Linked DNA regions of Canis lupus familiaris. The protein of the gene in region 2 purifies or fractionates together with the protein of the main gene of each other region. This does not show direct contact. Links are inferred from orthologs where the notes say so. Each region holds a gene or a part of one and is shown on either strand. Other genes may lie near its edges. The genes, in order: AMOTL1 and NF2.

Region 1 (4,546 bases), on a different chromosome or scaffold from region 2:
TCCTGATGATGAATCTGAGCTCCCTTTATAAGGAAGAGCTTCAAAACCATGGGAGGATGTCCCCGATTACTGTTGGGAAGAATAGTTAGGAAGACATGCAGGAAGAGGACAGGTGGCTCTCAGAAGTCTGGTCCATTTTAATCTTACAGGGCATGGTCACGCTCCAGAGTCTTACTCTCTGTTGCCTCTTATTTCTGGTACCTCTGACTTCCTGAAGCTTAGCCATTAGGAGCTGCTACTCTCCTCTGCTGGTGTGGAAGTAATTCTTCAGCTTTTCCTCTGACTACTTTTACAGCAGTCGCCTCTTCCAGGGAGCCTGCCCTGATGTGCAAATGGACCACCCTGCTCTGAGTTCTCATAGCTTCCTTTTTCATACTCATCTCACAGCAAAGATCGATTGGCAATTTTCTTCGCTATCTCAGTAATTCTGTCAATGGCCCCTCTACTCCTGCCTGACTTTTGCTGTGACAAAGGCTGGCCCCTGCTGCGTCAAATCCTCTCCACCCTCAGCCACAAGCGCTCATCCTTCTCTTTTCTCCACTGCCCACTGGGCTGGGCAGCAGTGAATTCTGCTGCAAGAAACCTTGGAAAAGAACAACACCCACACACACATGCATATTCTAGAAAGAGAGAAGAAAATAGGCCAGGAGCTCACTCCAGGCTCTTGCTCCAAAAGAAGAGTAGTTTCTTTCTCCTTAGCAAAATGTTCTCGCAGAGGCACAAAGCAGAAGGAGCCTGGCAATTCCATTTTAAATAAACTCGTGCTCCTAAATTATCATATTTCAGATTGGAATCCCATCCTCCCCACCTCGGCCCCTGGCCCCATTGCTCTTTATTCTTCGTGAAGCCTCAGTGGGGAAATGTGAAAGCCACTGATTAAAAGAAGCCTGTGATGGGCCTGCCACCAGCCGATTCTGATGAGACACATCCAATTAAAACAGACAACATTTTCAAAGACCCCAGGCGGGCATTTCATCTCCTCAGCACTTCCTCCAACATGTCAGCATCACCTGAGGCAGTTCTTCCTTTTTTTTTCCTCCCCCAGTATGAAATTTAGGTCAGTAACTGCATAATCCACACAAACAACCCTGGCTGCCTCTCCTCCCTCCTCCTCCTCCCTCTGGAGTTGTCTGTTTGGAAATACATAATTGGGCCCAAATGCTTCCTCCAGCTGACTCCAGTGTTTGGGGTGAGGACCGGGCCGGGGGGTCGAGGGGGCTGGGGACTGCTGCCTCTGCTGCATGCAGGACGTGCAGTGAGCAAAGACTGGAAGGTTGGTCGTGTGATTCAGTAGTGAGATCAAGCCATGCTGCCCACCCAGGGGGCCTGCTGGGCCATCTTGCAGTGATGGTGACGTCAGATTCTGTGCCCTCCCCTGAAAATCAATAATGTGGCCTCAGCAGGGCCACCAGTTCTCAGGGTCCAGCCTTTCACCCATAAAAGGAGATGAGCCAGCCGGATGTCTACACCCATCGTTGTTGCTCTGGTACTAATGTACATAGGCTTCCACAGAGCCTTTTGGAGGCAGGCGCTCTGTTAGGGGGTGCGGGGCCAAGTGTGCATCTGTGTCCACTTGTTTCTCTGGATGCCTTTGTGAGAATGTCCAGATCCCAGGGAGATGGGGAGATGGGTGTCTGCAAAGAGAATCCCCACTCAGCCAAACAAGGCCAGGGAACTGGCTTCCTTCCCGTGCTCTAGCTGGGACAAGCATTGTGCTTGCCACAGAGGCAGAACTATTTTCTCAAACAGGAAAACAGATTCTGTGCTTGGAAAAGTGGGAGACAGAGTAGGCTGGCCGCAGCACGCTGGGCGGAAGAGGATGTAGGAGGTGTTTCCTCACCCTCCTGTCTCTGGCTGGCCTGTGTGGTATGAGAAGACTTCTGGCATTGGCCAGGTAAGCTCGGGAAAACTATCCCCCTACATTTTTCCACAGGAGAAAACAGGGAGACAGGCATAGAAACAGCCACCTTGGTTTTGTCTGACAGACTGTACTGCAGCCCTTAAATGGTTCCTAGGGAACTTTGGGTTGAGCTGTGGTCATTCTGCCTCTGTGGGATCATACTCCACTACAGGGACATATGCTTGGAAGGGACCTTAGGTGTTATCTCGTCCAGCGTGTCCAATCTGCAGATGAGAAAATAGGCCCAGACAGGGCAGGTGACCTGCCATGTTCACACAGAGAGCTACTGGTGGAACTGATGGACCAGAGACTCCTGACCTCCAGGCTGAACAAATTTCCATCAACTTATGGCCTTCCTCCCATCCTAGTTTCCTTCTTTTCTGTTTGAAAATTAATTCAACACAATCCAGCAGGCATTTACGGAACACCTGCCTTGTTGCAGGCACTGCGTTGGGCACCAGAGATAAAGAAGTGAAGTGAGCCACCTGATGATGTTCACTGTGTACTAAGAGAGAAATTTCTGCAGGGAAGGAGGTAGGGATCAGCATCCTATTACCTTACCGGAGCTCCAGGTGCACCTATATCTTACTCAATAGTGTCACTGGCTACATTGAATTATAAGTGATGTTTTAATACTCAATACTGAGGTCTTGAAGGACAAAGACTAGCTGACTAATTTTGTATCCCCAGTGCCCAGGAGAGTGTCTAATACATGGTGACTGCTTAGTAGATACTTTTTTTTAAAAAAAGTAAATATGGGGCACCTAGGTGGCTCAGTAAGTTAGTTTAAGTTTTTTTAAATAAGTAAATATGGGGCACCTAGGTGGCTCCGTAAGTTAGGCATCAGGCTCTTGATTTCAGCTCAGGTCATGATCTCAGGATAGCGAGATTGAGCCCCACATTGGGCTCTGCGCTAGGCAGATTCTCTATCTCTCTCCCTCTTCCCCTCTCCATTCATTTGTGCTTTCTCTCTCTAATAAAGTAAAATAAAATAAAATAAAATAAAATAAAATAAAATAAATAGATGAGTATTTACTGTTTCACTTAAACATACTAATCTGACAAGTTATTCTTGTCAGTTTTGTCATGTATAAAATAAGGATAAGTACTTTATTTTCCAACTCTGGCAGACAGCTTGTATAGTTTTACCCCCTTATCCACTGTTTCACTTTCCATGGTATCAGTTATCCCTAGTCAACCATGGTCCAGAAGCAGATAATCCTCCTCTGACTATTGTCAGGTCAATAGTAGCCTAACAGTAGGTCACAGTTGCATATGTCATTCATCTCACTTCATCTCCTCATGTAGGCATGTTCTCATTTCACATCATCACAGAAGAAAGGTGAGTATAGTAAAATAAGATATGTTGAGAAGGACCACATTCACATAACTGTTACTACAGTATATTGTTATAATTATTCTATTTTATTATCAGTTGTCAATCTCTTGCGCCTAATTTATAGATTAAATTTTATCATAGTTATGTATGTATAGGAAAAAACATAGTATATATAGGATGCATCCCTATCTGTGGTTTTAGCCATCCTCTAGGGTCTTAGGACACATCCCCTGTAGATAAGAAGGGACTGACTACTATATTGGAATAACCTTTTTGTTAAGAACAACCACAAAAGCAGAACTATAAAACCAGACATACATATATTGAAGGTGTAATACGTATGTCTATTTAAGAGTACATATGTGTATAGATACATAAATATGTAAATATATACTTTAGAATTATATATGATATATCTAACATATTTTATAAACATAAAATTATATATAATTATGTATTACAATATATTATATACTTTCAAAGTATTTATAATTACTTATAATGTGTGTGTATATATACACTTTGATAGGAACAAAGAAGTGAGGACTTTAATGATCAAAGTCCCAAAAAGAAGGAAAAAGAGAAGTTGGTCTGACATTGGAAGTGAATTTTTCCCTCCAGATATTTGCCGGTTTCTGAGTAGCAGTTAAGAGGCCGAGAATCTGAACAGGAAATGGTGCATGGGAGCTGAGCAACTGAGCAGAGCTGCAGTAATCACTTTGATTTGGAAAGTTAAAAGTTGGAATTATGAGCCCATCAGGGTGGAAGGACCCTGAAAAACACACTGAAAAGCAACACACGAGGAGTGAAGATGAACCTGAAATGCCAGTCATCATACACTGAGGCACATTTCAAATCAGCTTGATCTCAAATTGATTAACCTGATCTGCTTCTCCCCTAAATACCCAATAGTGTGATTAATGGATCCTAGGGTAGTTCTATTTTCAACTTTTTGAAAACCTCTGAAAAAGGTTTTCCATAGTGTCCCCACCAGTGCAAGAAGTTCTCACTTTTATCCACATCCTACCAACATCTGCTGTTTCCTTGTATTGCCCAATTGCCTTCAGAAGCAAGTCCTCTCCGGAGAAAAAGAATATCATCTAGAACCTTGAAATATCTCTACCATTCTTGGTCCACACACAATTACTAGCATTCATTCTGAAGTCATCAGACAGACCAAGAAAAAATAACATAAAGGTCAAAACCAAGAGAAAAATTGACCAGAGAAAGAAACCAATAGGAAGCCCAGCTATTGCAGTTATGAGTTTGTACATATTTAATGTTCAGAATAATATCTGGTGCATAGT
Region 2 (4,252 bases):
TCTGCAAAATCTGACATCTGGTCACTCTCACAGGCAATTCTATTGCTAGTGTTTTTCCATTAAATGGTTCATAGTTCCCTGTTTCTTTGCAGGCCTCATAATTTTTGCTGGAAACTGGACATTTTAGGTAATACATTATCTAAATAATATAGATACTGTACTGGTTCTCCCCATCCCAGCCCCAGGGCTTGTTATTGGTTTGTTCATTTAGTGATGAGCTGGAATGTTTTAGTGAAATCTATCTCCTTCACATAGTGTTAAGGCCTATGATGTTTTCTTCAGAGAGGCACAAATTCAGTTATGGCCACAGTCATCCTTGGGTGTCAGTGGTTTTAATAGGGCTCTTTCTCATCCCCCTAATCACACCCAGCTGTTAAACTCCATTAATTGTGTTTTAGTCTTCTATTATTTTCATCCATGCCCTGGAGCATAACTTGCTCTACAAAGTAATCCAATCAAGGGTGGCTCTTTGGGGGGTAAAGTTTTTCAATCCCATGAAGGGCTCTTCCCAGCTGTTTTAGTTCTCTGATTCTCTACTGCAAACTAGCTGGCCTACCTTCTAGGCTGGATCTTCATTAAATCCATAACCTCCGGGATCCCTGGGTGGCGCAGCGGTTTAGCGCCTGCCTTTGGCTCAGGGCACGATCCTGGAGACCCAGGATCGAATTCCACGTCAGGCTCCCTGCATGGAGCCTGCTTCTCCCTCTGCCTATGTCTCTGCCTCTCTCTCTCTGTGATGACTATCATATATAAATAAAATTTTTTTAAAAAATCCATAATCTCCTCCCAATTGCCCTTCATCAAATCCTCCACTGTTTTAAGAGTTCCTTTAGGGATACACTTCTCCACATTTTGTTGCAAATGAAGTAACTGCCTTTGGGAAGAGAGCAGGAACTACAGGTTTTAAAGCCGCCTTCTCCCTCCAGGTAAAATCTCTGAGTCCTTGGCGGAAGAGGAAGGATTGGGGGAACACACAAGCCTGAAGTTTTCTCAGTTTGCCTTCTCTGGCATGGAACCACCATTGCACAAGCTGGGCCTGGGCCAGGAGTAACCGGGGCCCCAGTAGTCTCAGCATGCCATGCACAAGGCACAGCTCCCATTCTGTGAATAGGAGCTGGATAGAAGAAGTAAGCCCCATCTTTCAACTATACACATCTGGTACTTAGTCTCAGCAACAAGTAAGCTTATGCAGAATAAGAAACACTGAAATCCTGTTCCTCCTGGGAAAAAAGTGGTCTGACAGGGAGCTAGGGAAGAGGGAGCCCTGTGTTCTGGGTTACAGCAGTCTGGAGTGGAATCTCTACTCTGCTGAATTGGAAGTGGGGAGGGAGGTAGTAGCCTTGGTTCAAATACCATAGACTCTCGCCTTAGCAAATTTTCATAGATTTTCTCAAATAGCCCTTTATTCATTTGATGAATGTTTGCCCTTAGGACCATTTCCAGAAGGTTTAAATAGTTGAGTTTTTTGAAGTAATTTTTCCTAGTCCTCCAAGGGAGGTCAATGAAGCTACTCACACTGTCATACTAGAAGTGAATCATCAGGCTGTTTTTGTGCTATAATAGTAGAGCTGAAGGACTAAGTAGTTGTAACAGAGATCCTATGGCCTGCAAAGCTGAAAATATTTACTACGTGGCCCTTTACAGAAAAAGTTTGTCAACCCCTGACTTAGGTCACTTCTGTCAGTGCTGCTGGTTTCACAGACTACACTTTGGACTAGCAAGGACTTAAATTACATGAGAAGCAGTACTATTTTGGCTAAAAGCTGGACTTAAAATCCCACTTTGCCACAAACTAGATACATAGTTTGGGGTGCCTACCTCATTGGGTTGTTGTGAGAATTAAATGTATTAATGTCTGACTCTTACAACACATTCAACAAATGATAACTGGTATCATCATGGTGTAAACTGCATGAAAAATATTAGACATCAACTCTCATCTGAAATAGTTCACTTCCAGAAAATGGAAGCTTTTGGAAAAAAGGAAGTAAGTATAGATTTTCCAAAACACAAGACGCAACTTTTAATACCTGGGGCACATAAAAATATCTAATGAAGTAAAACAAACAAACAAACAAACAAACAAAAAAAAAACCATAGAGCTGGAACTTAAGCCTGACACTGAAAACCAGAATTTGGCCTTCCACGGACGCTTCCAGTAACAATGAATGAAAACCTGAATGAAGTGCTTCCAAACCCAAAAGCCCTAAGAAAAAAAAGAAAAAGAAAAAAAAAAAAAGCAGCAATTATCTTTAACATGAGGATTTGGGCCTAGATGGCTCCTTCTGGTTCTGGCTGGCTCCGTCTATGCTCAGAGATGATACGAGCTGGATCCCTCAAGCTTCCACCTTGACTGTCACCGCGGCAGGGGCGCCCCAGCTGGTGCCCGACCCACAGCGGGGCCGGGCGAGCGGGGATCCCGCCGGATTCCGCCCGGCGCCCGCTTGCCACAGCCCGTCGGGGTTGCCAGTCGGTTACCTCGCAATTGAACTCCATCTCGGCGTCCATGGTGACGATCCGCACGGTGAACGTCTTGGGCTGCTTCCTCTTGAGCGAGCTGAAGCTCATACGGGAAGCGATGGCCCCGGCCATGGCGCGGGGCTCAGGCCCGGGACCCTCGCGCCCCGAGGCCTGCGCTCTGGACCTGTTAGCCCCCCTGGAGGAGCCGCACAGGCCTCAGGGCCACCATGGTAGCCGACTGGCCCGCCTGGGAGCTGGCTGGTCCGCGCGGGCCCCCAGCGGCCAGCATGGGCCGTGAGGACCCTGCCCCGGGAGCGTAAAGAGGAGTTGGGGGGCGGACCCTTACGGCCACGGGGACGGAACACGAGCCAAGACCAAGCGGATGGGCTCTGCCCGGCGCTCAGGGTCTCGGGCCGGGGACGCTGGGGACGCCCCGGGACTGGGCCCCTAGACGGCAGCGGCCCAGCCCCCGCGCGCCTCGAAGCGGCCGACGGAGGTCTCGGGGCCGCGCTGCGGCCGGGCGCGCACGTGCGCGCGTGGCTGTCACCGTCCTCGCTCCGCGCGCCCGCGGGAAGCGTCCCCTCCCCACAGACCCCGGCCTGCTCCCCGCCCCGCCCTCAGGTCCCCAGATCATTACACGCAGCGCAACCGAACCCGGCGGCTGCCGCCCGGACACCGCGATTGGCTGAGAACCCCAGGGAGGCGGGACTTTTCCTGCCAGTCCACCCTACTTCAGAGGGACTCCACCAATCGGAAGTTCCGCCGTGATTGGAGGCGCGGGCCTGGGCTCGGCGTTGAGTGGCCAGAGTGGCAGTCACTCCGAACGCTTTTGTTCGCAGGGAGTACGCCTACTCTAGCAAGATTGGTTGAGGCAGCGGAGCCCGGCGCGCCTTCCACGGGCAACCACCTAGAGGCTGGCACGCGGCTGCGGGTGGGTCAGCGGGCGCCTGCCCTTCGGACTGAGTACGCGTGCAGTGTGGTACCCCAGAGGGCGCGTGTCGGACACCCGGCGGAAAGCCCTCCTCGGCCCTTAATGGCATATGCTGACCTCTGTGTTTCTCTAAACTTTTCAAGTCACGTGGAAGCTGCTTAGCTTGCTGGCACTCCCCCAGATCGTTCTGCTTCTCCCCGGGAGAAAGTGTGTTATTACCAAGGAAGGGTGATGATTGTACCTACCCCGTGGGGTTGTTGAGGAATTTAAGGACGTTAATACATAGAAAGCTTTAGAACGGTGGCTGCTGGCATATACTAGGTGGAATCCTATGAAATTGCTGTTTTTCATGAGAGACTCCTAACTCTGGGAACTGAACAAGGGGTAGTGGAAGGGGAGGTGGGAGGGGGGTTGGGGTGACTGGGTGACGGGCCCCGAGGAGGGCACTTGGCGGGATGAGCACTGGGTGTTATGCTAAATGTTGGCAAATTGAACTCCAATAAAAAAATTTTTTTTTAATTGCTGTTTTTATACATACACACAGAACAGTCCAAAAAATGAAAGCGTTTCTCATTTTGTATTCTGATTTCCACTTTCAAACCATAGCTGTGTTTTATTTATTTTTTAAATGTCATCAAGTTATAGTGGGTGTGTTGTGAGGTGGGGGTGTATATAGCTTTCTGTATTAAAAATATAAATCCTACTTTTAAGTAACTCTTAATAAGGGACACCTGGGTGGCTCAGTGGTTGAGCGTCTGCCTTTGGTTCAGGCTGTGATCCTGGGGTCCTGGAATTGAGTCCTCCATCAGGATCCCCTCAGGGAGCCTGCTTCTCCCTCTGCATAGGTCTCCCCCCTCTGTG

The links.
Region 1: the proteins of NF2 (region 2) and AMOTL1 purify together in Homo sapiens (affinity purification with mass spectrometry; 6 studies listed by BioGRID and IntAct, counting the BioPlex papers as one, with this or other methods). This does not show direct contact. The link is inferred for Canis lupus familiaris from reciprocal best matches to the Homo sapiens genes NF2 and AMOTL1.

The regions. Positions count from the first base shown.
Region 1 is NC_049242.1:6,356,552-6,361,097, reverse strand, and holds the start of AMOTL1 (angiomotin-like protein 1), read left to right. Parts: upstream 1-1,741; 5' UTR 1,742-1,894; intron 1,895-2,342; 5' UTR 2,343-2,434; intron 2,435-4,546. UniProt on the Homo sapiens protein: Inhibits the Wnt/beta-catenin signaling pathway, probably by recruiting CTNNB1 to recycling endosomes and hence preventing its translocation to the nucleus.
Region 2 is NC_049247.1:23,221,887-23,226,138, reverse strand, and holds the start of NF2 (merlin), read right to left. Parts: upstream 2,963-4,252; 5' UTR 2,593-2,962; coding exon 2,479-2,592; intron 1-2,478. UniProt on the Homo sapiens protein: Probable regulator of the Hippo/SWH (Sav/Wts/Hpo) signaling pathway, a signaling pathway that plays a pivotal role in tumor suppression by restricting proliferation and promoting apoptosis.